Linked DNA regions of Mus musculus: regions 2 and 3 are each reported to be linked to region 1. Evidence: microRNA targets listed by miRTarBase, many of them from high-throughput screens and not tested one by one. Region 1 holds a microRNA gene; each other region holds the end of a gene's coding sequence.
What was found. The annotated mature microRNA mmu-miR-883b-3p reads UAACUGCAACAUCUCUCAGUAU and lies in region 1 at 1,379-1,400, opposite strand. An mRNA with a match to its seed (bases 2 to 7 or 8) in the 3' UTR can be bound and repressed. Matches are read on the target gene's strand: a 7mer-m8 pairs with bases 2 to 8, a 7mer-A1 pairs with bases 2 to 7 and ends in A, and an 8mer does both.

Region 2: miRTarBase lists S1pr5 as a target of mmu-miR-883b-3p. Seed matches in the 3' UTR shown: 7mer-A1 at 1,279-1,285.
Region 3: the mRNA of Tubal3 is a reported target of mmu-miR-883b-3p. Seed matches in the 3' UTR shown: 7mer-A1 at 1,914-1,920 and 7mer-A1 at 1,777-1,783.

What each region holds. Positions count from the first base shown.
Region 1 is chrX:66,788,522-66,791,754 of GRCm38, forward strand. It overlaps Mir883b (microRNA 883b), which reads right to left and starts at 1,446; the gene lies at 1,369-1,446.
Region 2 is chr9:21,241,162-21,244,394 of GRCm38, reverse strand. It overlaps S1pr5 (sphingosine-1-phosphate receptor 5), which reads left to right. Exons shown (of 3, transcript NM_053190.2): 3 at 1-1,478. The coding sequence ends at 469. Among named protein-coding and RNA genes, the nearest start is that of Keap1, 3.4 kb to the right of the region's middle.
Region 3 is chr13:3,933,232-3,936,464 of GRCm38, reverse strand. It overlaps Tubal3 (tubulin, alpha-like 3), which reads right to left. Exons shown (of 4, transcript NM_001033879.3): 4 at 1,188-3,233. The coding sequence ends at 2,903. Among named protein-coding and RNA genes, the nearest start is that of Tubal3, 10 kb to the right of the region's middle.

The DNA.
Region 1 (3,233 bases):
ATATTATTTCAATATCAAGAATAAAGAGGAGTTGCAGTCTATTCTGGTAGGTTTTAACTGTCAACTTGACACAACCTAGAATTATACAATGTAAGAAAGAGCCTCAATGGGCTGGTGAGATGGCTCAGCAGGTAAGAACACTGACTGCTCTTCCGTAGATCCTGAGTTCAAATCCCAGCAACCACATGGTGGCTCACAACCACCTGTAAGGAGATCTGACACCTTCTTCTGGTGTGTCAGAAGACAGCTAGAGTGTACTTATGTATAATAATAAATCTTTGGGCCACAGCAAGCAGGGATTGAGCAAGTGGAGTTGACTAGAGTGAGCAGAGGTCCTAAAATTCAATTCTCAACAACGATATGAAGGTTTACAACCATCTGTAAAACTACAGTATACTCCCATACATTATATATATATATATATATATATATATATATATATATATATATATATATATATATATATATTAAAAAGAGCCTCAGTGAGATGATTTCTACATTAGGTTGGACTATAGCAAAGTCTGTAGGTGATTATTTCAGTTGTTAATTGCATGAGGAAGATCTACCCTGAACACAGATGGCACTATTTCGTAGGCTCAGCTCTGGATTAGGGCTGGAAAGAGATAGGTTAGATAGGAGAGAAAGTTAGAAAACTTCCTGTTCATGTATTAGACACAGTTTTGGTACCTAGCATCTATACTAGGTAGTTTGCTACTGCCTACAACTTAAGATTTAAGAGATTCAACATTTCTTCTAGCTTCTGAAGCCACCATCATGCCCGTGATACATATAAATATATGCAGGAACATAAATATTCATAAAATAAAAGTAAATAAAGGAATTTTTCAAAAAGGGATAGAAACTATCTGACTATTAAGCAAGCAAGGATGTATTTATTCTTTGTTCTTGACTGTGGATGTGATATGACAAAGTCCTTGAGTTCTTGCCTTGAATTCTCCAGAAAGGTTAACTAGAACCTAGAATCATGAGCTGAGATAAATCCTTTCCCTGCTAAATTTCTTTTTTGTCAGGATACTTTATCACTATAACATAAATTAAATTAAAAACACATTCTAATCTTATTTCCTGAGACTCAGAGAGTAACTAATTACTGTTCTTCACTACACATTCTTCTCATAGCATTCCCTACTTCCAAGACTTCAAACTCATTATTATGTTATTATTTTCCATATTAATATATCTTAAGATGTTTCATATTCATATAACACTAGAATTAAAATTATGAAAGCAACAACAAATCTATCATGGGGATGTCTGTTTTAAAGTGACTGCAATGTATCTTGAAATCAAGAAACTCATCCACTGTGTGAAGACTATGTCCATGTGGCTACCACCCTTGTATTTGTTGAACCTTACAATACTGAGAGATGTTGCAGTTACTCATAGTACAAAGTGACTGCTACCCATTCTCAGTAATGCATTGCACACAGAATATTGAGTGAGGAAATTAAGTCTGAAAGAATTAAAAGATATTACAATTTTTTGGACTATCAAGTATACATATATAATAAATTTCTTTCTTCACAATTAAGATAAGAGCAATTATAATCTTCTTTACCTCCATTTAGCTTTCTGAAGCAAGTGATTTATAAACCATTCACATGACTTTTTATTACATTACATTGATATAATATAGTTTATACTTTATATTCTCATGATATGAATAACTGAAAACACAAAGACTACCTAGGTCATTAGATACAAAAGGTTTACATATGGAAAAAACGATTTCAACATTACCTACAGAAATGAAATCATCACTATCCCAAAGACAGATCAAGTGAGGAATATAGTCTTCTTGACTTGAAGGAGATAGGTATTTGTTATAGTCACTTAAAATCTTACAAGCACAATGTATTACAATACCTGTAAGTTACAAAGATATTCCGAAGACCCTAAGATTCAACCACTCCATATTTTTTCCTCTAAGCATTTCCTTTAACACTTGTTCCACTGAATTTTTGTCAAAACCAGAGAGATGAGATTGATTTCATTTTGGTTTTTTACATTATATGTGCTTAGCTTATACTCACTGATTAGTGCAACTCACAGTTCTGATGAAAAGTTGTTTTCTCTTTGTCTCTGTCTCTCTCGATAGGGTTTCTCTGTGTAGCATGGGCTATACTGGAACTCACTCTGTAGGCCAGGCTAGCCTCAAACTCAGAAATATGCCTGCCTCTGCCCACCCCCCAACCAGCCCCCAAATGCTGGGATTAAAGGCATGCACTGCCCAGCAAAAGTTTTTTGTTTTTGTTTTTTAAATAAGACAAAAGGCTATTTTATAAAGAATCACAACTTGTCAAAGTGTAAACTACTGTCTTTTGTACATGATAAGGCTGTTTCACCAACACACTTTCAACAGTTAATGGTTGCTCGTACAAGATTTGCAAAAGACTGATTGAGGAAGGGTCCATAATTCCCATATCTAGTTCAGGCTGCTAAGGGAGAGCTAGTATTTTTTTAAGGATAAGTCCCCTGATCAGTTAGGTGCCCATTCCCAAGTGGTAAGTATGGTCTAAATTATGTACGTGTGCATGAAGGTAATCCCTGCCTCGGGTTTCAGGGATCACATGAAGACAGACATTTGGTGTTTTTTACTCGTTAGAACCATACTGAGGTTAGAGGCATGAGAAACTAAATGCCAGGTAGCTTACACTGTACCACTGGCATATTCTACCATTCTTGTCTCTTGAAGTAATAGGCCACATGAAACTTTATGCCTAGCAACTGGCGTCTAGGTGCAGATTCTTGTTCCTGAGATCATAGGCTGTTCCCAGAGGAAACATGAACTCATTGAAGAATCATTCATCAAGTATCTTCACGACTGAATTTCATATAGTCGCTGAGGCAAGATGAGCTAAACTGAGAAAACACTAAATATAATCCAACTGCCCAGTTAAATATAAATCCAAGAATTATATTTTTACCTTCAAGATGCTACAATAAGTTCATGAGGAATATGGTGAGCATTTTTTTCATCTAGAGAAGAAGTACTTACATCTATTTCTCATGAAGGAATCCAACATAGATGGAATGCCATTGATGTGAAACTTCATGTTAAATTGCAGAAACTTCATTATTAAAATCGTTGCCTTCAGATATCCCATCATTATTTGTAAAACAAGATATTTATACCTTGATTTGATTTAATTGTAAGTTCTAGAGAATAATAAACTCATATCCCTACACCATTCATCTTTCTGAAAGCAGGT
Region 2 (3,233 bases), not on the chromosome of region 1:
GCGGTCGCTGGCCCTGCTTCGTACCCTTAGCGTGGTGCTCCTGGCCTTCGTGGCCTGCTGGGGACCGCTGTTTCTCTTGCTATTACTGGATGTCGCGTGCCCAGCCCGCGCGTGTCCCGTGCTCCTGCAGGCCGATCCCTTCCTGGGTCTAGCCATGGCTAACTCGCTGCTGAATCCCATCATCTACACCTTCACCAACCGAGATCTGCGCCACGCGCTCCTGCGGCTGCTCTGCTGTGGCCGCGGACCCTGCAACCAAGACTCCTCCAACAGCTTGCAGCGATCCCCCAGTGCTGCCGGGCCTTCCGGTGGTGGCCTGCGACGCTGCCTGCCACCAACCTTGGATCGCAGCTCTAGCCCATCAGAACACTTGTCTCCCCAGCAGGACGGGGTGGACACCAGCTGCTCCACCGGCAGTCCTGGAGTAGCAACCGCCAACCGGAGCCTGGTGCCTACTGCTACAGACTGACGCTTCCCAACCCTTTGCAAGAACAGACTGACTCGCCAAATAAGCGCATCATCTGTAGGAAATAGCCAGCGACGGAGGGGGACATACAAGAAAGAAGGGAAAGTGATTGATCACCCCATAACAAGAACAGACAAAAATGCACTCGGGATCTGAGATGGACAATAAGGGAAAGAAGAAAGTGATGAGAAGGTATCCAGGTAGTGGAACCTAAGCTGGGAAGCCCTGAAGGAGAGCCATTCCATATGGCTGCAGCAGAAATTGAGGAGCAGGAGATGAAAGGGCAGGTTGTGGGGAAGTCTTGTTGGTTCTGAGGAAGTCCTTAGGTTTGGCTCTGAGTGAAGTGGGAGCCATAGAGAATTCTAAACAAAGGAGGGACTCTCCTGGATTCAGACCTCCACAGGTACCCTGTGACTACCAAAGTTCAAGGGGAATGGCTAAAAGATGAAGGGATAAAGGAGAGCGGGGCTCCAAGAATGCTCAGAACCAGGTGATGTCTAGATAAGAGTGTGCTAAGGGCTGGCAGGAGTAGTGGCTGGCTACAGAGGAAACAGAGCTGTGGACAAAGGTAAGCCTAGGTCTGGAAATTTGGCTCTGGAGACTGTCAGATATCAGCTGCCAAACTTCCAGAGTGTGGACAGGTTCTTCATACAAATTACAACCACAATAAAAACAATTCAAGGAGTTGTCCTTACTGGGATCTTTCAGAATCTATTCATTCATCTATTGATTTTTTTTTTTAATTTTCCCCCAGAAAGTTGTAACTATCCTCTTTAAAAGTGTTTATTTATTGGGGTTGGAGAGATGGCTCAGCAGTTAAGAACACTTGTTACCCTTGCAGGGGACCTGTGTTCCATTCCCAGCACCCAAGTGGTGATTCTGGCAACTTCAGTTCCAAGGTTATCTGATGCCCTCATCTGACCTCTGAGGGCACCAGGCATGCACATGGTACAAAGATTGAATGCAGGCAAAACTCTCATACAAACAAGCTAAATAAATCTTTTAAAATGTTTAAAATTGTTTATTTATTCATTGTTTATTTTGAGAGAGACACTCACTATGCAGCCTCAGATGGCCTGGAACTCACTAGGTAAACCAGGCTGGCCTGGAACTTCTGAGTGCTAATTTGGGCTGCGCAGGGTGGGGTGGGGGTGGGGGTGGTCCTGGATATGCCTTTACTTTACAGCAACATCATTTCAGGCCAGCCTGGGCTACATAGTGAGACTGTGTCTTTTTGTTTTTTGTTTTTGTTTTTGTTTTTCGAGACAGGGTTTCTCTGTGTAGCCCTGGCTGTCCTGGAACTCACTCTGTAGACCAGGCTGGCCTCGAACTCAGAAATCCGCCTGCCTCTGCCTCCCGAGTGCTGGGATTAAAGGCATGCGCCACCATGCCCAGCTTGAGACTGTGTCTTAAAAGCCTTTATCTACTTATGTATTTTGTGCCTGTGTATATGTACGGGTACCCATTGGGCACAGCAGGAGTGCAGGCGGAGGTCAAAGGACAGCTTTCCTCAGTCGGTTTTTTCCTTCCAGCACAGGGATCCTAAGGATCCAACTCAGGCTGTCATTCTTGCCAGCAAACACCTTTATCCCCCGAATATCCTTTGCCCTACCATCTCACCCCCACCCCTGTTTGCTTTGCTTTGCTTTCTCACTAATTATGACAAACATCTACCGATTCCCTACGGTGAGAAGCTCTTTTAGACTGTTCATCAGCCTTCCCCAACCAGATTCAGAACAGCATCACCTGACTCGCCCATCCTGCAAATAGTGCCCCCTCATGCCTGCTCCCTGCTCCTACCCGCTTCCCCCCATACCCCCCACAGACAGCATAGGTTTAAACTGTTCATTAAACTTGTATGTCAACTTCGGCCATGTTCATCTGGTTCATATTCATGCGAGGTCCTTGACACCAATGACAAGGTTGCTCTGTGCCGTGGACAGGTTCCTGGACTCAGATGGTTCTGCACGTCGAGGCTGCTCCTGTGCACTCCAGGTTCAGCATGAGCACACACCCCGCAGCCCCCACACTGAGACAACGCTTCTTGTACCCAGACTGACTTTAAATATACTACGAAGCCAAAAAAACGACTTTATACTTGTGAATTTTGTTTCCTGTGAGCAAAGGTGTGCTCTGCCACACGTGGCTTATGCTGTGTGGCGACAAAACCCAGTCCCAGCCCTCAACCTCCATTTGGTAGATGAAGAAACTAACAGATTTCCCTTGCCCCAGGGTCTTAGTACGGCTTTACCCTTGGGACCCCCATGCAGGAGGGGCTTGCCTGGTATTCGCTGCTCTTAGTCTAAGATTCCCTTGAAGTCTCTGGGTGTGGGCGCCACCTTGCAGTAGCTCTGAGAATTGCCTGGGTTCTGCTTTTAGCCGCTGGTTAAGGAACAGCGCGTCCCTTGAGGTAATTCTGGGAACTGCAAGCAGAGTGAAAGCAGGTGGTGAAGGGGATGCGCTCAGGTTGGGATTGCGGGCCAACTTGCATAAAATGAATTTTTTCCCCAGAAGTTCGCGAAAAGCTAGCAGGGGTGAGGGGTGGGGATACAGTCCGGCTGGCTCCCAGAGACCCTCCCTCAGATCTCATATCTTTCCTGGTGTGTTGGCTTGGTGGTTTAACAGTAGGGAACTTAGAGATTCTGATATTAAATTTAAAAAGTACTCAGTTCCCTATTTAAATACCAAATTTAAAAAGCACTGTTGGGATTTGTAGAGACCTTCCAGACATATTCTGTGGGAAAATGACCTGAGATGGGTTTTTTGG
Region 3 (3,233 bases), not on the chromosome of region 1:
TGGCATGGACAAACAAGAAGGTGTTGAGGACACCCAATTGGGTGGAATACATTTATTATGCCACGTAACTCACATTTAAATTACATTTTATTGATAGTGTGCATGCAAACACAGAAGCATGTGATGACAGAGCACAAATGTGGACAGCAAATGACAACTTGCAAGAGCCACTCTCTTCTCTTCTTCCTTACAAGAGCCACTCTCTTCTCTTCTTCCCCTGTGGAGTTCCCGAGGATCGAACTCAAGTCGTACAGCTTGGCAGAAAGCACTCTGACAGTCGAGCCATCTTGCTGGCCTCTAACAGACTTTTATATTCCACTCATTTCTTTCCCTCTCCACCTTCACTACAGTCGGCTCTCTGTGAGAACAAGGGTTATGTTGTTTAGTGTTATGTCCCTAGGAGCTACACTAAGGATAAGCATATGGTATATAAGTGGTTAACAAATTGAATGAAGACATCTCAAGCTTCTTGTAGTATAAAAAGGTTACACACATTTGACTTTAAACTACAGTGTTCACAACATCTAAGAGCATCTGACTTAGAAGAATTACATTAAGCCCTTTAACTCATAATTGAATTATGAACATTTCACAAATAAGTTAAAGATTGTAATGTTGAGTAATGATTTTTCTAGTTTATGAACGTTCTTCAGACAGTTTAAGGATAATTAGTGTACTTATAGTTTAAACTTAAAAAGTATAACTAAGGATTTGTGAAAGAGTTTGTCATACCACTACAGTCCTTAAAAAGAAATGGAGTATATTAAATTCATAGTCAATCTCAAATATTTAACACCATTTACTGAAGTATAAAATCAGTACCAACAATGTGTGTGGATCCTGTACAAACAAGTGTATAGGTTTGCCTCACTGAAATGCTGGACAGATGTAGCAGCTCCTGTAATCTCAGCATTCAGAAAAAGAAAAATGGAGATCACAGAGCAAGCTGGGTACTACACTAGCAAGCCCTGAGCTCATCTTGGAGAACTTATCTGAGCAAACAATGAAGAGAGTGATCAAGGAAGGCACACACCCAGTTCAGCATCTGCCCTCCACACACTTGTGCACACATGGGCACATACATTTGTGCATACACGTGCTTCCCCACATATGAGTGCACATATGCAAATAAGCACACACACCTCACATAGACACATGAATAAAGGAAAAACCAGACTTACAAAGAGTGGGATTCACAAGGTTTATTTTAAAGTTTAAAAAACAGTTTTCACTTGAATATTATGAAGTTAATTTTTAATATAAAATAAAATCTACAAATGTTTTGTGCATGAGTGAGAGAGTGTACTTTACTAATGCCCTCTAGTGGCTAAAGAAAAAGAGCTAACAAAGGTACATTAAAGAATGTAATAAATTTTAGCTTTAAAAATAAAAGGACCTAATAAAATGCACAGGGAAAAATCATCAATTCCTACTTAATACCACATTTAATACAGAGAAATTCCATAGCTCAGCTATCCCTAAATCCTGGGTGGGAAGAAATGGAGGCTCCACATTGCTCAGGTGATTCAAAAAGGACTCAAGACAGAAGAGTTCCAAGGTTTCTGGGAACAAGTGACCTCGGAATTACATAACTGGCCATAGGCCAAGTATATTCTGGAAACCGAGAGAGACTATCTTGGTTGGATTTTATGATACCATTATGACAGATAGGAGTGGATTGTAGTTGGTATGAGTTGGGAAAGACTCTGCTCATCATTTTCAGAAGTTTATACCTTATGCCTAAAAAAATAGGGAGTCAGGCTGGAGAGATGGCACTAACTGCTCTTCCAGAGGTCCTTAGTTCAATTTCCAGGAACCACATGGTGGCTCACAACCTTTGTTAAAGTTTTTGGTTTTGTTGCTGTTGTTTTGTTTTGTTTTTTGTCTAATCCATTCTCATAGCAATAATCAAGTAACTGCCAATAACCTTCAGAGGTTGGAGAAATGGTCCAGGGGATAAAGTGCTTGGTGAACAAGTGTAAAAAAAAAACAGAGTTCAGACCTCTAGTATCCACATAAATTCAAAGAAGGCATGGCTGCCCACCTCTAATCCCTGGACCTGAGAGCAAGAACTTGCCTGGACTAGCTACCTCAGTTCATGGAGAGACTCTGCCTCAGCAAACAAAGTGGAAAGAGATTGAGAGAATCACTTGTTAGAAGCTTCTGGCTGCCACTTGACATGGCCACATGCCATACTCCTGCAGACATACAAACATGCACACACACACACACACACACACACACACACACACACACACACACACGTAAAACAAATACATCTTCCTCCAGAATAGGCCACCTAGAGAAGGAATCAGTACTTTCTTACCTGCAGGATACTCATATCCAAATTCTGAAAAGTGACCAGCAGTATTCTTGTTTGTTGGCTTTCTTCCTTATTTTGTTTGAAAAGCAAACTGGGGACTTAAAGCCCACACTTGGAAAAAGAAAAAGAAATATTCTAAAAGCATTTATGGTTTAATTGATAGTAAGTGCATAAATAATGGAGAAATGGGATTCATAATCTGTGTATTTTCTGCCTCAGGACAAAAAAAGAGGAAGCAGAAACATCACGGTTCCAAACTCCCTTAATGCGTTGTTTTAGGGAAGGGGAAAGAATAAAGCCAGTCTTGTCCTAGGAAATAAGAACTAACATAAAATTACTCTACCTAGAGGAGACCCAGTAGTTCAAATGATCCTAATCCCCAGAAGGCTCTCAGTTAGCAAAGGTGAATTCTACTGTACACAAGAAAACATTACTTTATTGTTGATATTAATACATTGAATTTAATGTTGAATTTTGCATCTTGCTGATTTGGTTTTTGCTTTCCTCTAATTCATTAGATATATAAAAAACAGAACATGAGATTTTAACTCAGCATTCATTTGCCTGGTCATCTTCTTATCAGAAACTCAGACCCACTTCTTCATAATCTTTTTCCAGAGCAGCCAGATCTTCCCTGGCCTCTACAAACTCCCCAAGCTCCATGCCTTCTGTGATGTACCAGTGCAGGAATGCCTTCTTGGCATACATGAGGTCAAATTTGTGGTCCAGGCGGGCCCAGGCTTCCACAATTGCTGTGGTGTTGCTCAACATGCACACAGCACGCTGAACCCTAGCTAGATCCCCTCCTGGTACCACTGCAGGTGGCTGATAATTGATGCCCACCTTGAAACCAGTTGGACACCAATCAACAAACTGAACAGAGGTCCTAGATTTCATGGCTGCAATTGCT